Linked DNA regions of Caenorhabditis elegans. The protein of the gene in region 1 purifies or fractionates together with the protein of each later gene. This does not show direct contact. Each region holds a gene or a part of one and is shown in the gene's direction. Other genes may lie near its edges.

Region 1 (3,701 bases):
TTTCAGTTGACAATAGTCACAAGATTTTTTGACCAACCCAAGTGCCCAAACTCGGAGCCAATTTTTTCAGTCATTTTTCTGATATCGCTTCTTGTCAGCTTTTTAAGCATAAAAATCATTTTAGTTTGAAACAATTTTATTTTCTATTATCATTTTAGTGTTTCGAATTGATATGTTTTGTATGTGTAAAAATAGTTTACACTTGGTTACATCATTTTGTATGAAAAATCTAGAATTTTCGACAAAAAATTTTTTAAAAGATTTTCTGACGACCATCCAAAAAAAAATTTTTTGGACGGATTTTTTTCAAACTTTTGTTGTTTTCTAATAATGTATTTTAAACAAACCGAAATCCGCACACAACCCTCAATTCAAAGCTGAAAAGAAGCGAGATCAGAAAAATGCCTGAAAAAATTGGCTCCGAGTTAGGACACTTGGGGTGGTCAAAAAATTTTGTGACTATTGTCAAATGAAAGAACATTGTTGATAACATGAATTCCCAAAGTTTCATAAAAATCGATACGCAGCGAACAAAGTTATGATTTTTGACCCGAAACTTATTTGGTGACCTAATATGTCTAACAGCAATCATCCCTAAAAAACGTGAAGCTAAATGCTGATGTTGAAACAGTCAAATTTTTTTTTCAAAATTGTATTTTTTTTCAAATTTCTAGACCGATCTTGAGCGTGCCACGGAGCTTCTCGAAAAACGAATGGAAGGAAATGTTGCTCCACAACAGAGAGCTGAAAAGCTAAGAGAAAGAGCTGCCAAGCTGCTCTATCAGGCTCAGAGACACAACGATGATATTGACAGTGAGTTTGAAAATTTAAAACTAAAACTTTAAAACTTTAAAAACTACAAGTTTACAAAAACCAAATAATTTTCAGATTTATCAAAGGACTCAACCGAAATGCGATTGGACGACTACGAGACGATTCTGGCTGATTTGAATTCCCGACTGGAACGAGTGACACGTGACATTCATGAGAAGACCGACTTCCATGCCACGTGTGGATAAATTATGCTTTAATTTTAGGAGTTTTTTTATTCTATTGAAGCTCTAAAACTGCCAGACTTTCATCTTTAATCAAATAATACTGTATGAAAGTCAACAATTGCTCGTAAAGTGTGGTATATTATTAACTCGGTGAAACTCGGATAGACAATATTTACATCATATTTTACGAGCAATTTTTCTAATTTTGAAATTTCGCCTTCTTCCATCCCGCTTTTTGAAAACGGTTGTTGTCTCTTTATTATTATTTTTCAATTTCAAGTTTTCGCTTCCAATATATTTCTTTCAATTACGAAAATTGATTTTTGTTTGTTTTCTTCCTTATCACCCAATACTCTACACCATTTGTTTAATCTTTTTCAGTTCAAATCCCTCCCTTTTTTCCTAATAATTTATATTTGCTTTTTTCCCCAATCACCATCACCACACCTTGCTTAACTATTTATGCATCTCAGACACAGTTTAATTGTTTTTGCGTTTTTATCTTTCTATTTTAAAAATTCTGGATTATAAATCTATCAATTTCAATTTATGTTTTTTTTATTTTGTCATAAAAACTCAAGAAAAAGTTCAAAACGGTTAAGATCCGATAATTAATCTAAAATCTCTGTTTGAATGTCCGCCAAAAACGGAAAACGCGCAAAGAGCGAGAGCTGACGCATTTCGCGACTCGTACACCTGCGTTGGCGCACTTTCCGTGCCTCTTTACACTTTCACTTTTCCGTCCGAAATTACGATGTTTTCACTTGTTTTCTGCCAACTTTTTTGCAAAACTTCATGCCAATAACATGTTTACCAGGCTGTAGTGTTGAAATTGCGGCATTTTGATACATTTTACGTTCAAAAACGTTATATTGAAACGCCCGAACATTTTTTTGAATCATCGAATCAACAAACTTAATTTCAGATGAAGCATTCGCATCTTTATGAGCTTCAACCAGATCCGTACGATTTTACACAACGGAAGACATGCAGAGTTTGTCTATTCAAGGATGTTAAAAATGCGGTAAAATTTACAACTCTTTTTTTGAAAAAAAATATAATGAAATTTGATATTTGCAGGCAGAACTCTCGCAACAGTTGAAGGAAGGAAAAATCGATGCAGCTTTAATTCGTGCGGAACTTGTAAGTGTTTAGATAGAAAAAATTGCAACAAAAAATATTGGAAAAATTTAGGTGCTCGAACCGTTCGTACTCCTCGCCGCCGCCAACCGGGCCGTTCATCAATCGGCTCATAATCGGATGAGTTGTCGGAGTCTAGCTGCGGAGCTTGTCTATTCGCTTTCTCCGAGTAGAAATGTAAGATAATTTCAAAGTATTTCGAAAAAAAGTGATGATTTAAAAGATTTTAATTCTGCTAGTATTTCTTCAAACTCACTGGATTTTAAATTCGTTTTAATTTCAGATTACCGATTCTCTAGTGACCTTCGGAATTGCCGAGCACTCGACTGCAATTATCGCCGCAATTTTCGACGATGATTCCGGAAAAGCAATGAAAAAGTTGGCGAAAGCAATCAAGGGAACACCTGTGCCATTAATGGAAGGCCTACCGAAATTCGCAAATGTTAACATGATCAAGAAGGTTTATCAAGTAGGAAATCCAGCATTTGTCGAAGAAGGACTCTCCGATCACATCGTTTCGAGAATGGTTTCCAAGGATTTCGTTTCTTAACATTTTCTCGAAATTCTCTCCATTTTCCTTTTTCCATTTTTACCCTAACACTTTCGAATCGCAATCTAGTTTTTCTTTCTTTTTCTGACTAATGCCTCATTTCTACGCTAATTCGCTTATCCCTATCATCATCATCATCACTACGAACCGATGCCCACCTGAACACTGAATTCTCTGGAACTCTGTGCCCCCTGTTCTAATCTTCCCATCAATCTGCCACGAACATCTCAAATACTGCCTTCCATCCGAGACCCACTATGGATCAAAACATATACCAAAAAATCTGTATAGTTTCTTTTCTCTGTTTTTTCTTCTTTCATTAAGTTTCTGTTGTAATAAAATGCACATCTGTTAAAAATTATTTTATTTGTTTGAAATTCGATTGAATTGCTTCAGGAGTATACCTTGAAAACTACTAAAATAATTTGAAAATTGTAGAATTCAGGAAACAACGGATAAAATCAATCGGGTCAATCGGAGAGAGTTGTAAGTTTTTTCAAAATTTTTTTGCTGGAAAAAATCCAGAAAACAACGTGTGGGTGAAGTCGGAACCGGGATTTCGCAAATTTGTTCACATTTTCCTCTTTTTCTGAGAATAATTTATCAATTTTCATTTATTCATTCTAGTTTACTGACCACATATATTATTTAAAATTACGGAAACATGGTGAAAAATATTTGAATTGCTGTTCCGACTTTGCCCACACAATTAAAGAGAAACATTTTTCGATGTGAATTAAATAAATTTGAAGCAACAAATTAAAAAATGTCATGATTTTTATTTCCAAATACAGTAAATGCGTAAATTTTGTTCGATAATCGCGCCGAGCCCGTATATACAGATGAGGTTAGTCGTGTGACGTCATCATATTCATCAATTAGGGCCTGAAAACAAGCGAGAGAATGATGAGAATTCCGGCTGTTGGATAGATCAGACCGTTGCTCGAGTTGCACATATTGTCACTGCAGCAGCAATTCTTCTCGTCTCCTGGGCCAATGCAACCGTCTTCCTG
Region 2 (3,756 bases), on another chromosome or scaffold:
GGAACTTTCTTTTTTGATTTGATAAGAAGCCATGAAAATGTTGTATTTCAAAAGATAAAAACTCGCGGAAGAATATCACTGTCTACAATATTCAAAAATCGGGAAGGATCGGAAAAAAAAGATCAGACGGTTCAAATTTTTATATGCAGATCAGAGTTTTCTCAAATCAACATTCATCGGTTTAACCCAATTCTTCACACTTTTTTTCAAATTACATCAATTCTAAAAAACGAATTTAACCAAGAAAAAACAGGTCTTAAAACTGAATTAAAAATTTCAATCAGATGTTTCAAAAGACGGTGTTCTTTAGACGGAAACTTTATTCATGTGAAGGTGGTCTGAGAGAACAGGAGAAAAGATAAGATCATCCAGTTTTCAGTTAGTGGTTTGACATTTTTTGATTTGATAAGAGATAATTTGATTAATTGGTAACTGGGTATTCCGTGAGAAAAGTAACGAAAAAAATCTTCAAATTTTTTGGAACATTGAGGAAATTTATAGATTAAAAAGATGATTCCGTTTTCTGTAATATGCCAACGTTTCGGTTTTAAAAAATTGTAGATTTTTTTAAACGCAAGCTTTTCAAAATTGGGGCACCCAATTATACACTCTACTAAAAAAATCATAATTTAAAAATTTAAATTCGTTAAAATTGGAAAATTCTATAAAAACACTACAAAAAATCGCCCCCAATCGACCAAAAGTAAACACTAATATTGACAAATAATAGGCTAAGCCAATAATAGTACGAATTGCATTTTTGGAATTTTTGGAGCAATTGATGCCTATAAATGACACGAGGTCAAATTAGCCTTTTAATTTTTGAAAGCTTTACTTTACAAACAACAAAATATTTTTATTTTTAAATGAAAAAAATAAAGTTTTCGTAGATCATAAGCATATATTTTGTTTTCTTAAATAACGATTCACTAAAAAATCTACCCACCATCATCTAATATTCTTGCACTGACTCAGTCGTTTGTTGAAATTTTGCGAAAATTTTTAGGCGAGGATATACTGTCGAAATGTCAAAAAGTTACAATTGAATTATTGTTTGAATTCCCGTCTAGGGCAAATTAGGAGTCTAATTATTAAATGTGTATTGAATAAGTTCTCAAGAAAATCCTAGGTTTCAAATTTTATTCTAATCTGGCACCACGTACCCTATCATTTCGGCTACTATATTACCATTTCTCAAGAAATTTGGATTCTCTCACAGCTGAATTGAACTCCGCTTTAGTCCTAAAACACAAAAAACACTTCATGAATAGTACAATTTCTTTGCTCCGATACAGTACAAAATGATAGTGTACATAAAGGGTCAAAAGAGGGTGAACAGGCCACTTCTTCCTTCAAAAGTGTGTGTTTATTGTGCGTGCTTTTCGTCGAAATGTGCTCCGTGAGCACATAAACGGACAATATGCTCTCACACATTCATTTTTGTCCGCTCTCGGGCTTCCGGCGCCACTTCATTTGGGTTCTGAAGAACTTGACCAGTCACTGATATTTTTTGATTTTCACACGCATCTCTTTTCGCCGACGTCTTCTCGTTCTCTCTTGTACATGTACAAGAGGCAGGACGGAAGTGATTCTCTCCGCCCAGAAACTTTTGGGGTTTTCTATAAAATTAACCGGTGATTGTATTTTTATTCAGGTGGTAATTAAATTTTTAGTTTCTATGTTTTTGTACCTATTGTGACCTTTTTTAATATAATTTTTGAATTAGAACAACTGATAAAAGTTTGATTTCTTTATGTTTTCCTTTTGATACAAAATAATCTATCAATTTATCACATTGATCATTTATTTTTAGAATTTTTAGAATCTATCTATTTTTCCACCACTTGTTAATTTGATTCCTCTTCTTTTTTTCGTACTTTTCTTTATGATTCCTTTCAAGGTAGCCTACAGATTTTCAAAAATCTTGTTTATTTTTCAGCTCCAAATGCTCTTTCTTCCAATTTTAATCTTAAATCTACTCATCATCACACATGCAATTGATATAATTCCTCGAGAAGTTTTGTTCCAAGATCCAAAATATTCATCAGTTTCATTGAGTCCTGACGCGAAACAAGTTGGATACGTGGCTCCTGATGAAAATGGAATCAGAAATGTATTCACGAGATGCTCATCGTGCTCATATTCAAGACAAGTCACTTTTGAGACTGAACATCCTATTTTGAGTAAGTAGGAATTGAACAAATATATTAGAACTTTTTTGATAAAAATGATATTTCAGATTACGTTTGGACCGCTATTCCAGATGTTATTCTGTTCACTCAAGATAATCATGGAGATGAGAATACTCGCATTTACAAGAAAAATATTTCTGCGGTGAGTCAATCAAAAAACATTTTCTAGAAATAAAGTTGAATCTTCTCAAAAAGTTCAAAAACGTTGTGGAGTTGAATTGTAACATAAAGACTAAGAATTTTCAATTTCAGACAGCCATCGCTGCTGACAAAACCCAACGAGTAGTAATTAGTGAGAAGCCGATGGTGAAAGCAATGATTTTATCAAACAACTTGATTTCGGAGACAGTTCTTATTGGAATGAATGATGAAAATCCAGCACTCCATAATATTTATGCATTCAATTGTCAAACTGATGAATTGAAGTTGGTACTTCAAAATAGAAGATTTTCAATATTTTTCTTTGATAATGATTTGAATGTTCGATTGGCAAGTGAAGAAGGACCAGATGGAGAAATGATTTATTATCGACCAAGAAGCAATGAAGGTGCTAGAACAACTGAACAAAATACTTGGGTGGAGTATTTGAGAATTCAGCATGATGATAAGGCAATCACTATGTAAGTTCAAGAAATACTATATTTATAGCAATTTCTTTACAAAATGTACAATTTCAGGCCCATCACATTCGATAAATCTAACAATTTTATGTACTGGATTATGGGAGACGGCAGTGATTTGGGAAATCTCGTCGTTTTTCCATTTGAAGATCCACAACAGAAAGAGATTCTTTACACTGCACAAAGAGCGCAAATTGGAAATGTTTTGATTCATCCAACTGACAAAACTCTATTGGCTGTAACTGAAGTTTATCATAAGCCAGAGCTTTTTGTGGCAAATGAGACATTTATGGAGGATCTTCAGTATTTGGTCAACATGAAACCTTCTGGATCTATGAATATTGTTAGCATGAGTATTGGTGAGTTTTTCTTTCTTGTTCAAGATTAACATTATATTTCCAATTTTCATTTTCCAGATATGTCAACCTGGTTGGTTACCTATTCCTCATCCGATGAGCCATATGACATTTACTTGTACAGAAGATGGAATAAGAAGGCTGAACTTTTCATGAGCACACGTCCAGAACTCAAGAAGTATACGTTGAACAAGCAAATTGGATTCGATTTCAGAGCAAGAGATGAAATGACCATTCAAGCTTATTTGTCACTTCCACCACAGGTAAATTCATTTGAAAAACAATTCCATAAATTCATAAGAACGTCTTACTTACGAGGCTTTCCATCGTGAGAATGGAACTCCAATAAAACACACATTTAGAAAAATCAATATTTAAAACAACTTTCATTGCAGGCTCCACTACTGAAATCATCACAAGTTCCAGATGGTGATCGTCCTTATGCAAACCTTGGAATGATTCCAGCAGTTCCACAGAAAATGATTGTTTTAGTTCATGGAGGACCAAAAGCTCGTGATCATTATGGATTCTCACCAATGAATGCGTGGTTGACAAACCGTGGATACTCAGTCCTTCAAGTCAATTTCC

The links. The genes of interacting proteins can lie anywhere in the genome.
Region 2: the proteins of W03F8.4 (region 1) and dpf-6 fractionate together in Caenorhabditis elegans (co-fractionation; one large-scale study listed by BioGRID). This does not show direct contact.

What each region holds. Positions count from the first base shown.
Region 1 is NC_003282.8:5,182,200-5,185,900, forward strand, and holds W03F8.4 (EKC/KEOPS complex subunit TPRKB), read left to right. Parts: upstream 1-1,923; coding exon 1,924-2,022; intron 2,023-2,078; coding exon 2,079-2,141; intron 2,142-2,192; coding exon 2,193-2,315; intron 2,316-2,421; coding exon 2,422-2,688; 3' UTR 2,689-3,045; downstream 3,046-3,701. Other genes in the region: lam-1 (Laminin subunit beta-1), read left to right, coding at 675-813, 889-1,019; W03F8.6 (Activin_recp domain-containing protein), read right to left, coding at 3,567-3,698.
Region 2 is NC_003281.10:8,036,302-8,040,057, forward strand, and holds the start of dpf-6 (Dipeptidyl peptidase family member 6), read left to right. Parts: upstream 1-1,939; 5' UTR 1,940-1,945; coding exon 1,946-2,183; intron 2,184-2,239; coding exon 2,240-2,334; intron 2,335-2,444; coding exon 2,445-2,812; intron 2,813-2,855; coding exon of another isoform or gene 2,856-2,869; coding exon 2,870-3,171; intron 3,172-3,228; coding exon 3,229-3,431; intron 3,432-3,563; coding exon 3,564-3,756. UniProt on the Caenorhabditis elegans protein: Removes N-terminal dipeptides sequentially from polypeptides. Essential for control of distal tip cell migration.